Linked DNA regions of Caenorhabditis elegans. The protein of the gene in region 2 purifies or fractionates together with the protein of the main gene of each other region. This does not show direct contact. Each region holds a gene or a part of one and is shown on either strand. Other genes may lie near its edges.

The links.
Region 1: the proteins of cyb-3 (region 2) and cdk-1 purify together in Caenorhabditis elegans (affinity purification with western blotting, with the first as the bait; one study listed by BioGRID). This does not show direct contact.

What each region holds. Positions count from the first base shown.
Region 1 is NC_003281.10:9,745,555-9,749,352, reverse strand, and holds cdk-1 (Cyclin-dependent kinase 1), read right to left. Parts: upstream 1,882-3,798; 5' UTR 1,880-1,881; coding exon 1,700-1,879; intron 1,650-1,699; coding exon 1,443-1,649; intron 1,395-1,442; coding exon 1,239-1,394; intron 1,188-1,238; coding exon 861-1,187; intron 814-860; coding exon 685-813; 3' UTR 501-684; downstream 1-500. Other genes in the region: T05G5.4 (uncharacterized protein), read right to left, coding at 33-135, 203-316, 360-413; iff-1 (Eukaryotic translation initiation factor 5A-1), read left to right, coding at 2,200-2,300, 2,748-2,877, 2,922-3,074, 3,193-3,330, 3,380-3,445. UniProt on the Caenorhabditis elegans protein: Plays a key role in the control of the eukaryotic cell cycle. Required for entry into S-phase and mitosis. Acts as a component of the kinase complex that phosphorylates the repetitive C-terminus of RNA polymerase II.
Region 2 is NC_003283.11:15,393,484-15,398,335, reverse strand, and holds cyb-3 (G2/mitotic-specific cyclin-B3), read right to left. Parts: upstream 2,641-4,852; 5' UTR 2,624-2,640; coding exon 2,578-2,623; intron 2,526-2,577; coding exon 2,431-2,525; intron 2,380-2,430; coding exon 1,957-2,379; intron 1,908-1,956; coding exon 1,414-1,907; intron 1,369-1,413; coding exon 1,269-1,368; 3' UTR 988-1,268; downstream 1-987. Other genes in the region: fbxa-199 (G-protein coupled receptors family 1 profile domain-containing protein), read left to right, coding at 1-16, 67-278, 644-774, 816-951; T06E6.1 (WD repeat-containing protein 74), read left to right, coding at 3,386-3,529, 3,572-3,696, 3,746-4,052, 4,102-4,401, 4,712-4,852. UniProt on the Caenorhabditis elegans protein: Could be involved at the G2/M (mitosis) transition. Interacts with the CDK1 and CDK2 protein kinases. G2/M cyclins accumulate steadily during G2 and are abruptly destroyed at mitosis. Plays a role during oocyte meiosis II.

The sequences.
Region 1 (3,798 bases), on a different chromosome or scaffold from region 2:
ATTCGAGAGAATGAATAAATATTAAACAATACCTTCCCGGTAATAGTTTAAAATATCTTTCCTAGACTGATTCTTCTCATAAAGATCAGCTTTGTCCATCAAAATAGAAACCTTCGAGTGATGAATGTAAATGTTCTAAACACAATTATTTTGATTTATTCTCTAAATTGTATTTAATCCTATATATAGGGATATATCCTACCGGTCCCAATTCTAATTGACGTGCAATTGGAGACCACGAACGATAAGTGAATCCCCAGTAAAGATCATCGAGGAATTCTACAATCGATGGGAAGAAGAAAATTGCAAGAATAATCTTAATAGCTCCAGTTAGATTAGTTTTCGTTACCTTAGCTTACGTGCGAAATGTTAGACAGAGAAATTACGAATATTGGAATCACTGCAGCGATCATTCTTCAGAATGGAAAAATAATAATAATGAATTCTTAATTCCCTATTCTCATTTACACGTTGAACAAAGTGCTTGAATAAAAAAGAGCATGAAAGTAGAGCGAATTTATTTATCGCGGTGTGAAAAAAGAGATTACTCATGAATATCGAAGGGCCAAATAATCATCGTACAGGTAAAAAGTTGAAATGGTGATAGTTAAACAATACACGGAAGACGATAGGTGGTTAAAGCACGGGAGAATAAATAATAAAAATGATGATGAATGAATTACATCAAAAGAGTTCGAGTTCTCCTCGGTAATTTCCAGCTGGCAGCTTTGACGTATCCATGTTGTCAAAATAAGGATGAACGAGAGCTTTTTTCGCGTTGAGACGAAGTGATGGATCGTAGATCAGCAAACCCTGAAAATATTATTTTACTTGTTAAAGTACTATTTTAGAAATCTTACTTCAAGAAGAGAGAATGCAGTATCGTCCAAAAGGTGCTTTCCAGTCTTCTTGTCGTAGAACTTGTCACGGAGGAAATTCTCACGCCATTTTGGGAACGTCGCCTTGTAGTCCGGAAGTGATTCAACACCATTCCATTCCAACTCAGTCGGTGTGCCGAGAACTCTGAAGATGCGGAACAGCTCATCAATTTCTGAATCTCCTTGAAACAGTGGCTTCTTCGTGGCCATTTCAGCAAAAATGCATCCAATCGACCACATGTCTACGCCCATCGAGTATCTCTGAGCACCCATCAGAATTTCTGGAGCTCTATACCAGAGAGTGACAACCTGAAAACCGGACAATCATTGTATTGGTGTACAGAATGAATGCAAACTCACTTCATGCGTGTAAACGCGAATCGGGATACCAATAGCTCTGGCAAGTCCGAAATCGGCAAGCTTGATTGCTCCATTGTTGTCGACCAGCAAGTTCTGTGGCTTAAGATCGCGATGAATAACACGACGCTGATGACAAAAACACATAGCTTGAAGAATCTGGAACAATTATTCTTGTAAAGACATCGATTTTAAATATTTCCTCACTTGGAATGTGTAACTTTTAAGAGTTTCGAGCGGAAGGTATTCATCTTTTCCCAACTGATCCATGTATCGTTTCAAGTCGAAAGACAGGAATTCGAAGATCAGGAAAAGCCGGTTCTCCTGCATAATGACCGCTTCCAATCCAACAACATTCGGATGCTGGAGCTCTTTGAGCAAGCTGATCTCTCGCACAGCCGTTGATGGAACACCCTATAAGAATTATTGTTTGAAAAAACGAAACTGCTACAAAATTCAAATACCTCATCTTCACTTTCCAATCTGATTTTCTTCATAGCAACCATGGCATTGGTTCTTCTGTTTTTGCCTTTGTAGACGACTCCGTATGTTCCTTCGCCGATTTTTTCGAGCTTCGTGAAATCGTTGAGTGTGTAAACCGAATCTCCCTCGTGGGCCACTTCTCCTTCGCGAATAGGATCCATAACTAAAATTGGAAATGAATTTTGTCAGAACAATTGTAATACAACGATAGAAAAGGCGTAAGCGTGTAATTTTGAATCATTTCCACTGCCGCCGAAAAGGGGGGACAGTCGGTGCGAGACCATTGCTTAGTGAAAAGGCATGCACCTTTGATGACAATTTATTCCGAAAAGGAGAGTACGCGCTGAGAAGGATTGTTGTGAAACATTGCATTCATATGATAAAATTTAACGCAAAACTGTGCAGAAAAGAGAATAAATACAGGCCGGAAAATATAAAAATAACTACTCAAAATAATCATAAACTTGATTTGTTCTACTTTATGAGGCTTCCAACAAAACTAAACAGAGTTTCAAAGAAAAATCGTAATCTTGGCTTCGGAGGGTGGATGGCGAGAGTTGCTGCCCCGAAGACCATAGAGAGGTAATTTTTATTATTTAATTTTACATGATGAAAGCGAAATTTGGCAAGTAAGCAACGAATGCATTTTTAGGAAATTATTTATTCAGATAAATCAAAAAATAGAGCAGATTCCTTGAAATCCTAAAAAAGTGAGGACTTCGATTCTGTCTGAAGATGGAAGTTGGCGCCAAATTTTTGGCTGCGTAGCGACTCATTCTTCATTGTGATACGCAGCCAAACAACGTCCTTTCAAAAAAATTCGCGCATTTGATTTTCTCTCGATTTCTATACTTTTCTCAGGTTTGTACAGTGTTTTTCTTGCTAAGATCAATATTTTATTAGAAATGCATCAAATTTCTCAATCAAAACAATTTTTTCCTGCAAACCTTTTTTTCCAAATTTATTTTTTGAATTTCTCGTTGGAAACTAGTTGAAAATGCTAAAATAATTGATAAATCTTTGTTGCAGTATGTCCGAAGATCATCACGACGAGGAGCAATTCGACTCTGCCGAGTCCGGAGCTGCTGCTACTTTCCCGAAGCAATGCTCGGCTCTTCGCAAGAACGAGCACGTCATGATCCGAGGAAGACCATGCAAGGTAAAAAATAATTCAGTGAATTTTCCTAATTAGAAATTTTTTAGATCGTCGAGATGAGCACCTCCAAGACTGGAAAGCACGGACATGCTAAGGTTCACATGGTTGCCATCGATATTTTCACCACCAAGAAGCTTGAGGATATCTGCCCATCCACCCACAACATGGACGTCCCAGTCGTCAAGAGACGCGAGTACATTGTAAGTTGTTAATTAGTTTTTAAGAAGGCTTTCAAAAAAATCAACTTTGGACGGTTAAACAAATCTTTTGAAAAATGAGTTAATCAGCTGTAAAAAATGTTATTGATCAAATTTTCAGCTCATGTCGATCGAAGACGGGTTCTGCTCGCTCATGGATCCAGAATCTTGCGAGCTCAAAGACGATCTCAAAATGCCAGAAGGAGACTTGGGAAACACTATCCGTGAGGCTCTCGAGAAAGACGAAGGAAGCGTCTTGGTAATTATTTCGACATCCACCTTTTGAATCTGAAAATTTTGATTTTCAGGTTCAAGTCGTTGCTGCCTGCGGAGAGGAGGCTATTCTCGGATACAAGATTTCTACCAAGGAATAATTGCATTTATATACAATTTCATAATAAAAGCAGTTCCAGTTTAATCATCCCGCTTTTTATACATCATTCGAAAAACATCGGGCAATGAACAAGTGCACCTCCGCTGGTGTTGTGTAATGTGGGTGTTTTATGTGTCGTGTTGATTGTGATATCTGCTCACCAAACGAAAATGAATTGCTTGCAAACCGCGGAGGTGACATCTGTCCATGGAGTGTTAAATCAGATTCAGTTGTCAGACTTTGTAATCACAGTTCCTAGTTTTTGGAACTACATGGCCTGTGCAGCTTTTCCACCCTTTGTACACTACACCTTATTGCTTATTGAGTTGACCCCAGGTTGGCCGCGTGCCAATA
Region 2 (4,852 bases):
CTGTTCTTCCAAATTTGTAAGTTCACTAAATCGTACATCGTATTATAAGCAAAAATATTCTTTCAGTAGGATGCCAAAATTATTATAATGCTAAATATCTAGCATTTCAATATTCCGGTGGAAAAATTTGCCGTTGGTATGGGACATATGGAGATTTTTATCAAGTTTTCACACTAACAATCACTAGTGCATTTTTGAATTTTTCTGCCATTTGGAAGGTGGCAAAATTGAGGACGAAGTCGGTTAAAAATTCGATTGAGCTGAACTGGCTGAAGCAGGTATTGTTATTACGGAAATGCAAAAAAATGGGTCTCGTTAGGTATTTAGCGGCGAAACCTGTAAATTCGAACGTTTTTCCGTCATTTTTATTGATTTTTGAATCGAAATTGATAATTTTTTTAAAAAACTGTTCATCTTGTTCAATTTCGACGTAAAAATATTTGAAATAACAAAAAAAGATATTTAATTGAAAACGTTTGAATTCACGGTTTTGCCGCCAAATACCTAACGAGACCCAGCTGTTGGGGGCGGAGCATTTTCAATTGCCCGTGGAGCGCGTTTCCACGTTGATTTCAAATGGAGCGTTTTTCTGCGGCCCCATAATAAACTATCATCGCAAATTGCATAAAAATGAAACTTTCAGTCCTTGAGCCAAACTTTGTTTGTACTAATAATTGTTTGCTGTTTCACATGGGGACCTCGACTGCTGCCTGACAAAAAATTCACATTCATATTTTCTTCAATTCTATGGGCAGCAGTTCATTGCTTCGATGGGTGAGAAATTCAATGAAGATTGTGAAAATTTCAAATTTCAGAATAATAACCCTCGTTTTCAACTCTGAAATTTGGCGTAAAATCTTTTCTACAGGCTCCGCAGTTATCGTTGTCAGCACTGTAAGGACAAAAACCGCTTGTAAAGTTGCGCCGATCAAGTTCAAGTCTCCACATTAGTCATTAATCTGAAATCACACCATCAATAAACAATTTGCCGGAAAAATAATTTATTTTGGCGTAGCTCGAAATGTGTTTAAAAATTGGTAGAAATTTTGCAATATGTTCAGATTTTTAAAAGCAAAAAACAAAATCAGGCCAAAATTGCGTATGTGTATTTGTGAGAGATGACAGGAGTTAAATGGAATACAGAAGAGAATTGCAATACGTATACAAAATATATCAAAAGAGGCATAGGTGTCAATCGTTTGAAAGTTTTGGTGGGTGAACAGTTGAGAGGGGATTCAGAATCCAATACGGGAATAAATTAGGATTAGTTATGGGTATGAGAGCATTGGGACTGGAGCATATGTGTGGGAATCCACAACCTTGAGGGTATCCGGGAGCATTGGGATCGAGGCGACATGGAAGAATACTCTGGAAAAAAATATTAAAAATCGATATTTCTTTGCAAAAACTCACTCATGAGAATACTTCTGGCGAACGGATGTGAGTTGAGCCCACTTGTCCTTCGAAAAATGAAGAATGTGGTTCATGTGCTCCACCAGTGGCATCACCTCCTCTCCAGTGAATCCAGAATACTTCTCGAGCACTGGATTCCACTCGTACTCATTATTCTTGTCGAGCATACGCATGGCCAAGACGAAAGCGGCGGCGGCAAGACGGGATTGTGAGACCATAGCGTATTCGTAGACCATCAGTGATGTCTCCAGAATGAAGCGTCCCATGGTGAGTGTCTTCATATCGACACGACAGACACGACCGAAGCGGCGAAGATACCGATAGCTCAGTGGTGAGCCGAGATCATATCCGACGGTGGCGAAGAGTTCACGCTCCATGGCAAGAAGCTCATCGCGGGAGAAGCGATCTCCGGAAAGGTAGATGAGATCATCGACGAGTGGTGGAGATCGCTCATCGTACTTGGCGGCAATGAAGATGGCGACACATGCAAGCTTCTGAAAATTTATTGATAAAAATAATAGACTACTTTGGATTTTATCTCACCTGAATGGTGTTTTTGTCAACATTCTTCGTCTTGCACAAGTACATATCCGTGAGCTTAACGGCGTTGTAAAGGGTCTCGTGGTTGAGCTCAAATGTCTCCTGAATCTCAACCATCCAGTCAATGAGGATAGCACGAGTCTTGACGTCAACCTCCGGATGTTTGTGAAGGTACTTTCTCACTCGAAAGTGAACTTCTCGGTGTCTGTAGTAGTCAAAAATCCCTTGAGCATAGTCCGAGATACTGTCCGGGTTTCCGGCCTCCTCGAGGTCGTAATCGTAATGAGGACACGGATCAACATATCTGGACTTTTGCGGTGGAAGGTTCTCGACGTCTCGTCTACTCGTTCTCGACTTTCCCAGTGGATCTCGCTTTGCCGAGTCGATTTTAAATCCAGAGATGTGTGCGCGGAGCTCGGTGAGACCCTGAAACAATTAATTTGAGAAGGCCCAAAAAATCGATAATCCTCGTTCTACCTTGCTGTGTTGCTTCTTGGCTGCCGGTTCCGATGGATTCTTTAGAGCATCCAATTGCTCAGCCTGCTTTCGTTTTTGTTGATGCCGAGAATCTGCTGTAAATTAAAATTTAAAATCTATAAATAGTTTTCGAGGAAATCCGCTCACCTTGTGAAGTCAGGTCGACATTCTTGGCCTGGCTTCGCAGCATCATTTTGAATGCTGAAAATACTGAAATAAATTACATTGAAAGTGGGGAAAATGGAGACAAAATATTAAACGGAAACTGCGAAGCGATGAAACCAAAAAAATGATGATTTTTGGGAGCAGAGAGCAAATGGCAAACGATGGTGAACACTGGAAATTGCCGCCCTCTTGGTGGGTCTCGCGGGGTGTATTTGAAATTGCCCCCCGTTCGGTGGAGCGCACATGCCTCGGAGTACGGTCGGCGATATTTCTCACTGTCGACAAAAATGCTTAAAAGTTCAGAAAAAAGTGATTGAAAAATTTGAAAGTGAACTGGGTTTGATAGAAAATGTGCTTATTGATAAGAAAATAACATTCAAGTGTTTTGTATAAACTCCAAAAATGTGATTTGCTGTCCTCAGAAATATTGATTAAAAGAAAATCAGATATTTTAGGGGTTTTAAAGAATGAAAAATAGAACAATTGTTTTCAGAAAATAAAATACTTACAATTGTTCTTTTAGAGAATAGGTTAACAATTGAAAATAAGCTAAATGTACTCAAAAGTGATTCAATAATGGAAAAAATGATAAAATTGCAGAAATCGCATTCAAATCTGCCGCTTGTTCGGCAGAGCGCACTTGCATTTCTCATTTTTATTCGCATTTTTTCTTGTAATTTTACTTTTGTTCTCGCTAAAATAGAGTTATTTCCCAATTTAACCTTAATCTGCGCTTAATTTCTCGAAGAAATAATTATTTTCGACTTATTTCATCAATTTTTCAGGTAAAATGGACTGCTACGTGGGAGCAACCACTGGCGCTCTGAAAGGAGCAATTTTGAAGGAGAATACCTTCCAAAATCTCAATGAAATCAAGTCCCTTGACCCGAAAAGCGATGAGATTACCTCGATGATCTGGAATGACGAGCAACAGGTTAGTTATGGTCGATAAATTATTTTAAAAGTTGAATTTCAGACTGAAATCCTGATCGCTCGAGTAAATCGGGATCTGCAGCTACTTGGCATTGAAGAAAACGAACTTGTATCGATATTAACAGTTACCGGAGGCACTGGACCAATCAAAGGCCTGCATAAAGCAGAGTAATCATACAAAAACCGTGGTTTCAAATCTCAAAATTAAATATTTCAGTGAAAAAATCGTCACTTGCGTTGAAAGCGGCGAACTGCAAATCTGGAATGACAAATCTGAAATCTTGTCCGAGTGGAAGACCGGTCCAGGAGTTGCCGTCATGCGGGGATCCACCGAGAAGCCAGAAATCGTCACGGGCGGTATGAAGAATCTTCTGAAAACGTGGAATTTGGAGACCGGCCAGCAGACGTGGAGCGCTAAGAATGTGCCGCCCGATATGCTCGGATTGGAAATTCCTATCATGATTACAGATGCAAGATTTATTCCAGGACAGAACACGATTCTCGAGGCCACAAAGCTTCACGAGGTGCTTTTCTACTAAAATTAATAATTTTAAAAACGATTTTTCTTTTCAGATGCGCCTCTACGATCCACGCGCTCAACGCCGACCCGTCAAGAAGATCCCATTTATGGAAAATCCGATAATGTGTACCTCGCTCACATACAAAACCAATCAAATACTCGCCGCAAATTCCATCGGAGAAATGGGACTTTTCGATTTGCGCAGTAAAGTTCATCCGATGTGCAAGTTCAAGGGACAAGCCGGATCTATCCGGAGCATCACAGCTCATCCAACACTGCCGCTGGCTGCTTCCGTTGGAATTGATCGATTTTTGAGAGTACACGATTTGCAATCGAGGAAGCTGATTCATAAGGTTCGAGAAATGACAATTTTCGGCTGAAAAAGAAGATTTTCGCGAACTTCATCACGTTTTACGTGGAGTTTTGATTTCAATTAAGCAATCAATCCGTGAATTTTGCACAAATCAAAAAAAAGAAGATAACGAAACAATTAAAATTGAAACTTTATTGAAAAATCTACAAAAAACAGTGAAAATCAGAGAAAAACCCGTGCTGCAAAATTGCGAAATCATGCTCTGTCTCTATTTCTGTGCGGCACTGTTTTTTTTCGTGAAAATTTACAAAAAAAATCTCTGAAAACCAAGAAACCCTCAATTTTTTCAGATTTACTGCAAAACGCGCCTGAATCGTGTCCTACTCCGTGATAATTTATCAATTTTGAACGACAAAAAGCCTGCATCGAAAAAGGAGATTAATGAGGATGAAACGGAATACGGAAATATGACCAAAGATGGATATCGATCT